Linked DNA regions of Arabidopsis thaliana. The gene in region 1 interacts genetically with each later gene. Each region holds a gene or a part of one and is shown in the gene's direction. Other genes may lie near its edges. The genes, in order: LHY and TIC.

The links.
Region 2: of LHY (region 1) and TIC, changing one enhances a phenotype caused by changing the other (phenotypic enhancement), as found in Arabidopsis thaliana (one study listed by BioGRID).

Annotation. Positions count from the first base shown.
Region 1 is NC_003070.9:32,876-40,070, reverse strand, and holds LHY (Homeodomain-like superfamily protein), read left to right. Parts: upstream 1-2,313; 5' UTR 2,314-2,502; exon of another isoform or gene 2,503-2,672; 5' UTR 2,673-2,698; exon of another isoform or gene 2,699-2,867; 5' UTR 2,868-3,009; coding exon 3,010-3,048; intron 3,049-3,149; coding exon 3,150-3,261; intron 3,262-3,385; coding exon 3,386-3,447; intron 3,448-3,899; coding exon of another isoform or gene 3,900-3,981; intron 3,982-4,071; coding exon of another isoform or gene 4,072-4,107; coding exon 4,108-4,341; intron 4,342-4,423; coding exon 4,424-4,504; intron 4,505-4,596; coding exon 4,597-5,670; intron 5,671-5,743; coding exon 5,744-6,079; 3' UTR 6,080-6,090; exon of another isoform or gene 6,091-6,409; intron 6,410-6,481; 3' UTR 6,482-6,692; downstream 6,693-7,195. Other genes in the region: UMAMIT28 (nodulin MtN21 /EamA-like transporter family protein), read left to right, coding at 257-662, 784-935, 1,017-1,173. UniProt on the Arabidopsis thaliana protein: Transcription factor involved in the circadian clock. Binds to the promoter region of APRR1/TOC1 and TCP21/CHE to repress their transcription. Represses both CCA1 and itself.
Region 2 is NC_003074.8:7,910,987-7,919,124, forward strand, and holds the start of TIC (time for coffee), read left to right. Parts: upstream 1-1,918; 5' UTR 1,919-2,194; coding exon 2,195-2,294; intron 2,295-2,385; coding exon 2,386-2,925; intron 2,926-3,016; coding exon 3,017-3,216; intron 3,217-3,291; coding exon 3,292-3,586; intron 3,587-3,677; coding exon 3,678-3,981; intron 3,982-4,066; coding exon 4,067-4,106; intron 4,107-4,189; coding exon 4,190-4,285; intron 4,286-4,444; coding exon of another isoform or gene 4,445-4,447; coding exon 4,448-4,670; intron 4,671-4,775; coding exon 4,776-4,842; intron 4,843-4,936; coding exon 4,937-5,003; intron 5,004-5,085; coding exon 5,086-5,415; intron 5,416-5,502; coding exon 5,503-7,885; coding exon of another isoform or gene 7,886-7,893; exon of another isoform or gene 7,894-7,958; coding exon 7,959-7,981; 3' UTR 7,982-8,138. UniProt on the Arabidopsis thaliana protein: Regulator of normal clock function. Acts in the mid to late night. Contributes to the amplitude of circadian clocks. May act on the transcriptional induction of LATE ELONGATED HYPOCOTYL (LHY).

The DNA of each region.
Region 1 (7,195 bases):
TTTCTTTTCCATCAAATTACCTTAAGTATACGTAACTGCATCCACTGAGCCCTCTTTCTAAAGCTTTTCCTGAAAAAATGTCTTTTCTTAGCTATACGTCGCATTTTTATAAACTTTGATGGAATGATGCGGAAAATTATTAAAAAGCGACTCTATTTTGTAACGCCAGGAAAGAAAAAAAACAAATACTTTCTACTATGATTCATATTCTCAATAACTTGTTTCAAAATAATCATTAAAATTTTACTTTTTTTAGGACTGAAAATGTGAAGATTCTAAAGACCAAAGCAGGAATGTTGAAGGTGATTGGAACTTTGATCTGTATAAGTGGAGCTTTGTTCTTAACATTTTACAAAGGCCCACAAATATCAAACTCTCACTCTCACTCTCACGGTGGGGCTTCCCACAACAACAACGATCAAGACAAGGCCAATAATTGGCTTCTTGGATGTCTTTATTTAACCATAGGAACAGTGTTGCTATCTCTATGGATGTTGTTTCAAGGGACTTTAAGTATTAAGTACCCTTGCAAATACTCGAGCACTTGTCTTATGTCAATTTTCGCGGCATTTCAATGTGCTCTCTTGAGCCTTTACAAGAGCAGAGACGTTAATGATTGGATCATAGATGATAGATTCGTTATCACCGTCATCATATACGCTGTAAGTTACAAACATCATATCTTTATAAATTAACTTTTTAAAAATTATAAGATTAGTATGTAAGAACTTAAGATATTAATGTGGGTTTTTTTATGTGGTTTTTTTTTATCATATATTATAGGGAGTGGTAGGACAAGCAATGACGACGGTTGCAACAACATGGGGGATTAAAAAATTAGGAGCTGTGTTCGCATCGGCGTTTTTCCCACTTACTCTCATTTCGGCTACTCTATTTGATTTCCTCATTTTACACACTCCTTTATACCTTGGAAGGTATCTTCTTCGATAATCTCTATCAAATTAATTTTGTCTAGGCATAACACTAATTACAACATTAAAACTTTTGGTCTACAGTGTGATTGGATCACTAGTGACCATAACGGGTCTCTACATGTTCTTGTGGGGGAAGAACAAAGAAACGGAATCATCAACTGCATTGTCTTCAGGAATGGATAACGAAGCTCAATATACTACTCCTAATAAGGATAACGACTCTAAGTCGCCCGTTTAATTTAATTATATTGTTGTTAATGTATGTTTCAAATAACTGTTATGTCCTAGTTAATGTTTAAGGAGAGGTAATGAGAGATAAAATTTTATAATTCCAAACATCAACGTAGAGATTTGTGAAATATTTAAATCCGGTTTGTTTGGTTATTTTGGAATAATTTCGGTTATTTCAATTAGATTCGGGTAGTTCAGTTCTTCGGTTAGTAACAAAAACTGGTCTATTGTTTTTTGGTTAACCTAGAACCGAACCGAACTAACCAAAGTTCTCGGTAACCTTTTGTAGTGGCTTCCTGACCGATGAGGCCGTCAACTTCAAAAAATATTGCAACTAAGCTCTGCTCCAACATTAGAGTATCTATAACTATGTTAAACGCTTCTGCTTTAAGCAAAACACAGTTGTAAGCTGGAATCTAAAAAAATGAGTGTAATGATGTTTGCTGAATTCCATAAATAAATACTACATGCTTCGGTTAAGACTTAAGAGTAATTAATGTTCCTTAATTTCTACAAATGTTATATAAGCAAGTTGACCAAAGTTCTCGATGATAATTTGTTGAAATTTTGTATAGGCATTGCATGATATTATATGAAAAGATGAAGATTTTTATACAGACGCAAGTTCCCCGAGCAGTCCAAGCTTGTCGGGTTTAATTCAACTATGTTAATACGCAAATTTATATAGAATAGGCGTAAAAGTGAGGCCCATACAATGTCTTATTACAAGCCCAGATCCAGCATAGCCAATACGTAGCAGTACACCATCACAGCTGGCACCGTACCCACTTGTTTAGTCGTCCAAGTTTGTACCAATAATCGTTTACACGTAAGCAATTGTGGACCACCACACTCACTTTTACCTACGTGAGCTTCACATTGAAGCTTCTGGCTCGTAGAGAAGCAACTTGAGATATACCAAAAAGTGCAGTAGACAGCCACTACAATATCACCACGTGTCGATCTGCGATGACTTCTGTTTTTTCCATTTATACCCTTGGTGCTGTTCCAGCCTCAAATAAACTTTTCAATTAAAATTTTTCCAAAAATTAGGGGAAAAATTGTTGTGGCTGAGATTGCTTCTGGCTTCTCTTCTTCTTCTTCCAGTCTTCTTCAGCCTAAAACAGTCTTCCTTCTTCTTCTTCTTCTTCTTCTTCTTCTTCTTCTTCAGTTATCTTCTTCCTTCTTCTCTCTGTTTTTTAAATTTATTTTTAGAGATTTTTTTTTGTTTTGCTTCCGATTTGATTATTTCCGGGAACGATGACTTCTCCGGGGAGTTCCCGGTGAGATGATAAGTCAGATTGCATACTTGTCTCCTCCATGGCTACTCTCAAGGGTATAACAGTTTACATTATGAGCAGTTTCTAGGATTCCTATAACATACTAAGATCTCTGTTTGGCTGCTGAGAAACTTATAGAAGCGATTAACTAAATCTTATTAGCTCTAAAAGTTAGCATAAATGATACGAATCTGGTGATTGATTACTGATATGAAGATTTGTGAAGGTTTTGGCTGCGGTGGATTCGTTTGGGTGAGGCTTTTGTGAATAATAATAAAGGGAATTCTTTTGAGTTCTGCTGGAGAAGCAGCGACTGTTTCACGGTGGACTTTGAAAAGATTTCTCTTTTGAATTTCGCTCATCACTCTTATCTTAGTGTTTGTGGATAAATATTTCTCATAAAGTACTTTCTCCTTTGCAGTTTCTCTAGAATCTAAAGAGGTTATCACAACGGCTTTGCAATTTGAAAACTTTCATGTTTGGGGAGATCAAAGATGGTTTCTTTTTTATACTTTACTTGTTAGAGAGGATTTGAAGCAGCGAATAGCTGCACCGGTCCTGTTATGGATACTAATACATCTGGAGAAGAATTATTAGCTAAGGTACTACTACTAATGAAATAAGATTGGTGTTTTTTTGTTTGAGAGATTTGGACTGTTGTTGTGTGAAGATTTGATTTTCTTTTGGGTTTTCAAATGTTTAGGCAAGAAAGCCATATACAATAACAAAGCAGCGAGAGCGATGGACTGAGGATGAGCATGAGAGGTTTCTAGAAGCCTTGAGGCTTTATGGAAGAGCTTGGCAACGAATTGAAGGTCGAAAGTTTATCTTTTGAATGTTTAGTTTGAACTCTTTGAGATTTTATATTCCTTTGTTTAGGAGTGTCTTTATCTCCTCTTGATTGGGAGATTCCTTCTTTTCTTTTCATTTTGTGTGCAGAACATATTGGGACAAAGACTGCTGTTCAGATCAGAAGTCATGCACAAAAGTTCTTCACAAAGGTAAGTTGATGATCCTTTCAGATCTTTTTAAAACACTTTCGTTATCTTGTGTAAAGGTACCATTTTTTCATATCGATCTATGACTATGTTTAGAAGTTGCCTGTCACTGTCTGGAAAAGATGATAGAAGGTTCTTCTTATTCTTCCTTTTCTCTAATTGCTTCAACTAGAAATTAGGCGTCTAAGTAGAGTGTGTTTTGCTAAGTAGAGTTGGTTGGTTCCGAGGATTGCATCTCGATCGTTTTTTATCTTTTTCATTTACTCTGTTCAACTAAACTTAACATTAGATTGGTCTGTCCAAACTTACTGTTAGAAAAAACTCTACAGAGAGCTTTCTTCTCTGAGACCATAAGATAGGTCCAAATTAACATAACTAGCGTTGCATTTGGATGACACAATTGTCCCATATTCACTAAAGTCGATGAAATAATGGGATTGCATGAATTCTTTTAGCCATCCATATGGAAACCAAACCTCCTTGCCCTATAGGACAGGACATGAAGTAACTCTATCATCTCTACCCCGAAAAATTCGGGTCAGTATAAGACTTTTTTCAACCTTGGTGATGTGGTCAATTTCATGAATCTCAGGATTTCACATCTGAGCTGCATTTTTCCATCTCCAGTTTGGAAAAGCTCACAGTTTTTGGTTCACATTTCAGTTGGAGAAAGAGGCTGAAGTTAAAGGCATCCCTGTTTGCCAAGCTTTGGACATAGAAATTCCGCCTCCTCGTCCTAAACGAAAACCCAATACTCCTTATCCTCGAAAGCCTGGGAACAACGGTACATCTTCCTCTCAAGTATCATCAGCAAAAGATGCAAAACTTGTTTCATCGGCCTCTTCTTCACAGTTGAATCAGGCGTTCTTGGATTTGGAAAAAATGCCGTTCTCTGAGGTTTATTCCTGATCTTTCTCTTCTTCATTTTATCATTTTGGTGGTCTTGTGATAGACTTCTTATGTTTTATTTTCTGGTTAGAAAACATCAACTGGAAAAGAAAATCAAGATGAGAATTGCTCGGGTGTTTCTACTGTGAACAAGTATCCCTTACCAACGAAAGTAAGTCTAAGAAAGCTACAAAATTGTAGTCGAAGAATCTGATGAATGCTTTCAAGTGCATGACAAATTATTTGTTCCATTCTGATTTTTAGCAGGTAAGTGGCGACATTGAAACAAGTAAGACCTCAACTGTGGACAACGCGGTTCAAGATGTTCCCAAGAAGAACAAAGACAAAGATGGTAACGATGGTACTACTGTGCACAGCATGCAAAACTACCCTTGGCATTTCCACGCAGATATTGTGAACGGGAATATAGCAAAATGCCCTCAAAATCATCCCTCAGGTATGGTATCTCAAGACTTCATGTTTCATCCTATGAGAGAAGAAACTCACGGGCACGCAAATCTTCAAGCTACAACAGCATCTGCTACTACTACAGCTTCTCATCAAGCGTTTCCAGCTTGTCATTCACAGGATGATTACCGTTCGTTTCTCCAGATATCATCTACTTTCTCCAATCTTATTATGTCAACTCTCCTACAGAATCCTGCAGCTCATGCTGCAGCTACATTCGCTGCTTCGGTCTGGCCTTATGCGAGTGTCGGGAATTCTGGTGATTCATCAACCCCAATGAGCTCTTCTCCTCCAAGTATAACTGCCATTGCCGCTGCTACAGTAGCTGCTGCAACTGCTTGGTGGGCTTCTCATGGACTTCTTCCTGTATGCGCTCCAGCTCCAATAACATGTGTTCCATTCTCAACTGTTGCAGTTCCAACTCCAGCAATGACTGAAATGGATACCGTTGAAAATACTCAACCGTTTGAGAAACAAAACACAGCTCTGCAAGATCAAAACTTGGCTTCGAAATCTCCAGCTTCATCATCTGATGATTCAGATGAGACTGGAGTAACCAAGCTAAATGCCGACTCAAAAACCAATGATGATAAAATTGAGGAGGTTGTTGTTACTGCCGCTGTGCATGACTCAAACACTGCCCAGAAGAAAAATCTTGTGGACCGCTCATCCTGTGGCTCAAATACACCTTCAGGGAGTGACGCAGAAACTGATGCATTAGATAAAATGGAGAAAGATAAAGAGGATGTGAAGGAGACAGATGAGAATCAGCCAGATGTTATTGAGTTAAATAACCGTAAGATTAAAATGAGAGACAACAACAGCAACAACAATGCAACTACTGATTCGTGGAAGGAAGTCTCCGAAGAGGTAAAACAAAAACCAATGATTCATGGATATTGCAGAGTTCTTCTGGGAACTAACACTATCAAAATATTTTCAGGGTCGTATAGCGTTTCAGGCTCTCTTTGCAAGAGAAAGATTGCCTCAAAGCTTTTCGCCTCCTCAAGTGGCAGAGAATGTGAATAGAAAACAAAGTGACACGTCAATGCCATTGGCTCCTAATTTCAAAAGCCAGGATTCTTGTGCTGCAGACCAAGAAGGAGTAGTAATGATCGGTGTTGGAACATGCAAGAGTCTTAAAACGAGACAGACAGGATTTAAGCCATACAAGAGATGTTCAATGGAAGTGAAAGAGAGCCAAGTTGGGAACATAAACAATCAAAGTGATGAAAAAGTCTGCAAAAGGCTTCGATTGGAAGGAGAAGCTTCTACATGACAGACTTGGAGGTAAAAAAAAAACATCCACATTTTTATCAATATCTTTAAATCTAGTGTTAGTAGTTTGCTTCTCCAATCTTTATGAAAGAGACTTTTAATTTTCCTTCCGAACATTTCTTTGGTCATGTCAGGTTCTGTACCATATTACCCCATGTCTTGTCTCTTGTCTCTGTTTGTGTATGCTACTTGTGGTCTATATGTCATCTGCTACTACTGTTAATTAACCATTAAGCAATGGATTTGTCTTTATTCTTCTTTTTAAAAATTGTGGATATTGATTGATGAGATCATAAATAGTTTATAATGATAAAAGATGAACTGTACAAAAGTTACAACTTAGAAAGTTTTGTCTTTTGGTGTTTCTTCATAATGATTCTCTCTGTTTGTTTCAAACTTGAAGGCGCTCGTTGCCCAACGCCAAATGCCCAAAGGTGCTAGGCTGGGCCTTAAAGATTTTACTCACACTACTTGGGCCTACATTACAACATTTTCCCTATTACAAGCTTAAGTAATAGAGGCCTAAAGAAGGCTTATATTGTGTAGCTAGTTTATACAATATTTCAATCTCTTAATTTGGTTTACTGATGAATGAGTAGATATACAATTTTTTTGTTCTCACTGAATGAGCCATATCCTTGCTACCAAACCAAATTATTTGTGAAAAATGTAATGCAAGTATCCTACATAGATTATAGGAGTGACCGCAAAAACACAAACTATGTTTCGTAATAAAAAATAAAGTATTTTTAAAAAGATGTAAATCTTTGTAAATAATTGAGTGGTAGTGTAGTGAGTGTTACGATAATATAAAAGTTTGATCCGTATATCTCGGTGGTGACTCATATATACATTTTACAATCACTTGCTAGACCAACGGGCTTCACTTGTTTCTCTCCCAAAGTTTCTTCATCATCCTTGCGATAAAGAAAACAACAATCGGCTGTTTCGTTTCGATCCAAAGGTACGTTTTTTTTTCTTTTGTCATCGTTCTAAGATCATCAAAGTTTGATGCTTTTCCATGTTTAATCTTCTGGGTATTTTGTTGCTTCAAATCTCAATCATCCATCGAGTCTATAGAGAAAAAGTGAACAGATTTGGTATACATCTTTTCAGT
Region 2 (8,138 bases), on another chromosome or scaffold:
ATCAGTAACCTTGGAAAATAGCGAAACAAGCCAACTTTTATTTTTTTTTGGCAACATACCAACTTCTTCAGAAATACTTTTCAAAAGAAAAATAATTTATAAGTGGGGGTAATTAAAAAGAGATAAGAGCAGTGAAAGATGATTTCCACAAAAGGAAAAAAAAAAAAAGGGAAAAGAGAGGTGAAAAAAATAAAAAATAATGTAAAAAGAGCGGTGAAAAAAGTAATAATTGAAAAGAAAGAAAAAAGATGATAAGAGCAATTCCACATTGGCAGCTAACTGTGGACCCCACACTTCTCGGAAGTTCCGTGACCGCGACTTGAGTGAATAAGGTCCCACATGCATTTCCCTCTCTTCCCATCTCAGCCGTTTAATCTTTTCTAAATCGAACGGTTCAGATCAACGGGTCGGGTGCCAACTCAACGCCTTTTTTAGTTTTTATTTTATTTTATGTTTTTTTTTTGGATGATGTTTTCTTCTGCCAAGTCAGATTGTTTAAAAACCAAAAATAGAAGAAAATAAAATACTAATATAATATAAAACGATCTAACGGTTGTGAGAGCATTTAGCTAATTGGCAACAAATGGTATTGGCCGTTGATTTGTAATTAATGAGTTAAATTATTTTAGACTATGGTAGGACCTGTTTCCTTACTTTATAGGTTTATTGTTTAGCTTACCTTCCCTAATAGAATTAAAAAAATCTAAAGGATATTATATGGTTTATTACTATTTTAGAAATATCCAAATATGACCAGATTTAATTAGTTTTATAGAAATTTATAGTTATGTCAATTTGACTAATCTAACCTAGGAATTATCAAGATTTAATTTCTCTTTTAGATTTTTTCATTATAAATTAAGAATGTTGATAAATTAGTAATTAAAAATGTGGTAGATACTTCCAATATTATTCTCCATATATTTTCATTTTTAATTATTAGATTCTAAGAATTTAAAAGATCAATTTTGCAAACCTGGCATATTTGAAAAGGTAAATTTAATTTAACAGCTTTTATTGCATGCACGTAAGAAATATCAAATAAATCAATAAGAAGGAAAGTAAATATTTGAATATTTATTTTCCATGAGTTGAAGAAAAAAAAATAGTTAGTGGCAAGTAAAAAACTATTTAGCCATTTGATCTTAATGGAGAAAAGTAAAAAAAAAAAAGATGAAGGTAGAGAAGTGGAACCTGATGTGATTAATATTACCGGTTGGATCGGTTTGTATAGGTGGTCACAAAGATTCCATTCTGATCGTAGATTGCCTTTACCAAGGTCTCTGTCTACCGGTAATAGCCGGTGATACATCTTCTCAAGACACATTTTGAATTTTAATAATTAAAATAACATCATATTTGTGCGTGTATATGTCAGTATTTTTGTTTTCTTTTCACACGAGTCATCGCGATTAGTGGACAACAGTACACTACCCCAGGAGCCTTTTTATTGCACAATATACTATTGATGATTATTTTTAGATTTAAATATTATTATCTTAATCTTTCCGACTTTCAATATATTTTATTGTTTTTTTATTTGTTTGTTTATTTCTAGACAGTGCAAAGTCAATAAAATATTGGTAGCGATAATATAGACGGAAGCGTGTGATGTCAAACTCTTGACACGTGGCAGCTTCTGTTTAATAACTGGTAACAGTCCAAAATAATTTTTTCACATGAATCCGACTCCGAAAATAATATTCTTTTAAAACCGAAAAATTAAATGTTATCAAATACTAAAATATCATAACAATAAGATATCATTTTTGAGTGGGTCCTACCTACGGATGCTGACTAATAAAATAATTAAAGAATACGTTTTTTAATTTAATAATAAAATAATAATCGGTGGTAAAATAATTAATAAAAGAAGAAATATCGGTTATTTATTATTATATGCGAGATCTCTTATAACGGAGGGCCAAGATTTTGTCACGCTGGTATATAGCGTATCGTGACCGTTGGATGTATTCACACCGACGGTGAAGATTGAGAAAATGTTTTACGGCAGGAGATATGAGCCGTGGATTTATTCGCTACTCTGCTTTTATGAGGAGCACAAATAAAGGAGATAATGGGAAGCAAGTAGAGAGATAGAGGAGAGAGAGTTTGATAAAGAGAGAGAAAAAGGGGTTGCGATTTGGGAGAAGAGAAATAGAGAGGAGAAGCATTAGAGAAGAAGAAGAAGAAGATGGATAGAAATAGAGAAGCTAGAAGAGTACCTATGGCGGCTGCCGGAAATGGTCTTTCCCGGCGGAGACATAGAGCCGGAAGTTTCAGAGATTCACCAGGTTTGTTTTTGAATCTCTTGATTTGGTTTGTTTTTCATCAGATCTGAGAGAAAACGTTTGGTTCTGATTTTTCTGAACGTTTTTTTCACAGAGGAGGAAGGTCCGGTGGAGTTACCGGAGGCGGCGAGGTTGAGAGATCGAGGAGGGAGTAATAAGAAGGATCGAGATCGGGAACGTGATAGAGACAGAGAGAGGGAAAGAGAAAGAGATAGGGAGAGAGATCGGTTAAATAGCCGGAGTAAACGGCGGAGAGGAGAACGCTTAATGATGGTTCACGGTAATCTAGACGACGGTGGCGACGATAGCTCGGAAGAGAGTGTCAACGACGATGAAGAATATGACGACGGAGGTGTAGGACCACCTTCTTCGTTGAAGATGCTTCCTCCGACGAGCAATAATATCTCAGCTGCATCGTTTTCATCGTCTCTATCAAATCATCACAACGGAGGTAGCGGTAATCTCCATCACCACCATCACAGCCACAACAATAACCATCAGAGGAAGAATAATTTTCCGCCGACGAAAGTTTTCAGATCGTCTCCTTCTCCGGCGCCGGTATCACCTCTTGTCTCGACGTGGAAAGCCGCCGACGAGATGATCGGTGTTTCGGTTCCTAGAAAAGCTCGGTCAGGTAGAGAGGTGGAAATTTACATTTGTAAACATATCTCTCGCTGATCTATCTCGATTCACAGTTCTTCTAATCTCTTCTTCGATTTTTGCAGCGTGTACGAAGAGACCTCATGAATCATGGGCGTCAAGTACTACCGGAGGTGGTGTTTTTGCTTCCGGTGAACAAATCCATCGGCAAATATCATCAACGTCTCCAGCTAATAGAGTTAGTCCGGCTTCGATTTTAGCATCTCCGTCTCCTCCTGCTCCTACGTCTCCTTCTTCATCAAGCATTTCCGTCAGGAAAAAATTGGTTAGTCTCTCAAAATTTACACTCAAATCTCTCCATCTCCATCTTCTTCTTTGACTAATATATTTTTGCTTCTAGCCGTCGGGGACGAAACAGAAGCCGTTACCGCCGAAGTCATCATCGAGTAAGTTATCATCGCCAGTGGCTGTACAAGACGAGATCGAGATCGAGATTGCAGAAGTGTTGTATGGTATGATGAGGATGCCTTCCACATCAAAACAAGAAGCAGCCGGTAACGATTTGACGGAGGCAGCGAAATCAACTGTAGAAGTCAAATCTCGAGTCTCTTCACCGATCTCAAATCCTCAGACTCTTCCTCAATCATCTATCACACTAGCTGCAAATTCTAGCTCCTCTAATGTTTCAGCCATCGGTAACATCCTCTCTCCATTCACAAATCGGAACGACTATTTTTGTTTTTTTTTTTCTTTTTTGCTCACTTTGTTTTACCATTTTCGCTTCAGCTCCTAAGAGAAAGAAGCCGAGACATGTCAAGTACGAAGACGATAACAGTTCACGCGTCACTACAATCAAATCCGAAGCCGAAGCTCCTTCAAAAAGTCAAGTTCCGTTCAGTAATCAACTAAAGAGCTCAGGATCCGGCGAAGGAAACAGCTCCGTATTGGATTCTATCATACCACTGACGAGAGAAAGCAACGCTTCGTTAGATTCGGAGAAAAAAGAGAACAATCTGTCAAAAGACGAAACAATATTGCCGAAAGTGGAATCTTCTTCAGGATTTAGATCCGATGGTGAAGGAGCTAAATCGTAAGCATTCAATCTATACATTCATTTTTTCTGGATTTTTTACCCAAGTTTTGGTACTGAATGTTTTTTGTTTTTAATCATGCAGGAGTTCGCCGGAAAAAGAGAAGTTTGAGATAGATCTGATGGTAAGTGTCAATAACATATATATTTTATTTTATTTTCCTTTTTTTTTGAAGTTCCGTACTAAATTAATTGTCCGTCGGTTCAGGCGCCACCGCCGGTGAGATCGTCGTCGGAGAGAGGCGGAGAGATGATGGAATGTGTGGCGGCAGAAGCTAAACCTAAAGTCACGGAAGTGGAAACGGTGAGTGGGGCCTACTTTTGTTTGGTAATATTGTGATAATTGGGGATATCCATCATTACTTTTTCATTTTTGCTTTTTTTGGCTCTCTTTTTCTTATCTTCATCTTTTTGGCTCCCTCTTTTTTTTAATTCTCTCCTGTGTCCACACTAATGCATGTAGCAGGAAGCAAAGCCTCTGCTTAAGGAAGATAGAAGTGATCCGGCGATTCATGATTCTCAGGAGAAGAAGAGACCTAGAATGGTTGCTGAAGCTGAACACCATAAGTTTGAGAGGAATTGTGAACTCAAACTCGACTTGGATAAATCTGATCATGTGGGTTTAGTAAACAAGCATCATGTTCAGAAACCGCCACCGCAACAGCAACTATCTGTTCCTGATAAAACTGGTAGGCCTTTTTCATCTTTCTTGAGATTCATTCTTCTTACTCTGACTGGACTAGTTTCGTTTTTTGTATACTGAATTAACTGGGCCTCTTTTTAAAAAATTCCAGCTCAAGCTAGCCATTTGCCTCTGCATATGTCTATGCCTGGCTGGCCTGGGGGCCTTCCTACAATGGGGTATGTTTTCTTTGTAATTTAAGCATGTGATACTTTTCCTAAGTCTCCTTTTTATTTTTTGGTTGTACTAATGTAAAACTCTGTGATTAAACAGATACATGGCACCTACACAAGGAGTTGTGCCTACGGATACCAGTTCCTTATCAGCTGCAGCAATGCAGGTAATTTTGATTGGATGTGCCATTCTAATATTTCTCTTTATATTTTTTTGCCTTTACTGATTTAAATTTTGGTCTTGTGCAGCCTCCACCTCATTTACTTTTTAATCAACCAAGGCCGAAGCGATGTGCTACACACTGCTACATTGCTCGGAATATTCAATCTCATCAGCAATTCACAAAGATGAATCCTTTCTGGCCTGCAGCAGCAGGCTCAGCTCCAATGTATGGGACCAAGGCCTGCAATCTCAGTCTTATGCCTCCCACAGAACTTCAGGGGAGTGTTTTGGGAAGAAGTTCCAACCCTGTTCAAGATAAGAATTCTCAATCTACGTCCAAAAGCTCAGAGACAGCTCAAAGAAATCAATTAATGCTTCAACAAGCTTTGCCTCCAGGAGCAGCTAATAGCATCTTGGTTAGTTTTTTTAGTCCATGTATCATGTTTCTCATCAGGTTTTGTCGTCCTTCTTATAAGCTGATTGTTTTTTTACTTTCATTGTAGCATGGTCCGACATTCATATTCCCCTTGGGCCAACAGCCTCACGCTGCCGCTACAATAGCTGCCGCATCTGTCAGACCTCCTAATAGTGGCATCACATCTTCTGGACCAACAGCTACTTCTACCTCCATGAATGGTTCTGCATCAGCTACTCCAGCTGGTGCCCCAACAATGAGCTTCAGTTATCCTGCCATGCCGGGAAATGAAACGCAGTACCTGGCCATTTTGCAGAATAACGGCTATCCATTTCCAGTTCCAGCACATGTTGGTGCACAACCTGCTTATAGAGGTGCTCCTGGGCAGCCGATGCCATTTTTTAATGGTTCATTCTATTCCTCCCAAATGATCCAGCCTCCACATCATCAGCCACAAAAGCAGCATCAGCAGCAGCTAACTGGTCAAATGCTCCAGAGCCATGCTCCTAACAACCAGAATGGGAGTGCTTCCACTGGTTCCTCAGCAGCTCAAAAGCATCTGCAGAACCAACAGTTGAGGCCACCGATTAATCATGGGAACTCTCAAGGATTTCCAACTCATAAAGTGCAATCGCAGCCTTTGAATTTTCAGCAGAGGCAGCAACCCAGAGAAAATGCTACTCAACATAGTGAGACTGTAGGGGAAGATAGCCCATCAACTGCTGATAGCCGGGGTTCTCGTTCCAATGTTGCCTATGGCCAGAACTATGGTATGCAAATGCAACCAACTAACTTGGGTTTGATGAGTTCCCCTGCCCCTGGTGGTGGGGTGGTTGGATCTTCGAGCAGTCATGGTGAAAAGAAATCACAGCAGCAGGTTTCAAAGGCTGGTGTAGAATCCTTCCAGTCACCGGGTTATGCTATGACTTTTGCGACGTTCAATGGGGCTAACACTGCTCCTACCCTAAACATGTCATCAATTGCTCAGAATCACGCTATGTTCCACAGCATGCCCGAAGCAGCAAGGCAAGGTTATCAGATGATGGCTGCTCAAGCAGCTCAACAAAAAATGAACTACGGTGCTTCACTAGAAGATGGAAAATCTGGGTCTATTGGTGGTGCTGCTACTGCTAATAATACCCCTGAGGAACAAAGGAAGTCAGGAGGAGGGGCAATAGGGAAAACGAGTGGTGGGAATGGTGGGCAGTCTATTGCTTTCTCTAACAAACAGGATTTAGCTGATGCATCTGTTTCTGCTGTCACGAGTGGTAGCATCGTTGATAGCTCATCCCGTTTACTCAACCTTGGTTCTGCTCTGCCACAGAGTTCGGGTTCTTTACCCACGTCTCATCATCAACAACTACTACAACAACAGCAGCAACAGCATATGCAACGGAGTCAATCGCAGCAACCTTATACCACCATGTACCTCCAGAAGCAGCAACGGTATGCAACTTCAGTGGCTGCTTCTGCTGCCAGAACCAAAGGGCCCGTGGTGAGTAACGGGAGTGGTTTCCCTGATCACAATATGACCACATCACCTGCGGGAACCACCAAGTTTGCAAATGCTAATTCAGGGTTCCCTCAAAACCTTGTCCAGTCGAGTAGCAATCAGGTTCAGTCTCAGCAGTGGAAAAACAATTCACCCAGGACAACAAATACTACCCAAGCTCAGTCTCCTTCGATGTTGTCGCCATCAACATCAGTTGCTGCTGCATCTTCGCTAAGAAACATCCCGCATAAACAGCAAAGCCGTCCCCAGCAATCGCAGATATCTTTTGCAGCAAACTCAAAACCAATGACTTCTGGTTCACCAATGCAGCAGGTACAAGGAGGAACCAACCACCAGGCTCCGTCTCCACCAATGTTAGTTGGGTCGCCTTCGACGTCGTCTGTCTCCAAAAATGCCAGCGGAAGCCCAAGAACAACTGCTTCTGCTTCCTCGGCGGCAAACAAAGGTGGACAAGCTTCCACAACTACTCACTCAGCATCTCAGCCGTCCAAGAACTTACAGCCTGCATCTGCGGCGTCATCTGCTGGTGGAAGGAATAATGGTCCTTCTGTTCTCGGAAACCCGACCACGAGCTCTGGATCCAAGTCGCAACAACAGCAGCAGTTGCCAAAGCATGGGCTGCAGCCGCAAGCACAGCTATTCTTCTCTAATCCTTATATGCAAGCTCAACATCAACATCAACAGCAACAGATCACCATATCTCCTTCTGGTGGGTATTACATCCAAAGACACCAGCAACAGTCAGGTTCAGCACCTGCTGTTCCAGTCACGGGAGCTGTCACCGCCACTTCAGATCCAGCGAAAGCCATAGCGGCTGCATCTGCAGCGAATAACATGAAAGGAGGTGGTGGTATGGGTAAAACTCAACAACATCAGCTTGGGCCTCCAGGGTTCACTAATGTTCACGCTGTTTCCTCTGCGGTTCAGGTCAAACCCGTGGATCAGAAGCAACAGGCGGGTGAGTGAAAGATCTTTAAAACTATTTTGTTTAGCATAAAAGACTCTGAATGGTTGGGAAGTTCCGGTTATAGCTTGTGCTGGCGAGACGAAATGACTTTAAAAGAGTCTGATGAAGAAAGAAGCAGACGGAACAGAACAACTAAAAAAAGGGATGACAATTTTTTTCGGAGTTGGGGGTGCTTTTTAAAAGCATTGTGTACAATTAGTGTTTATATTATTCTGACAGGAACCTACGGTGTCAATTCCAAAAC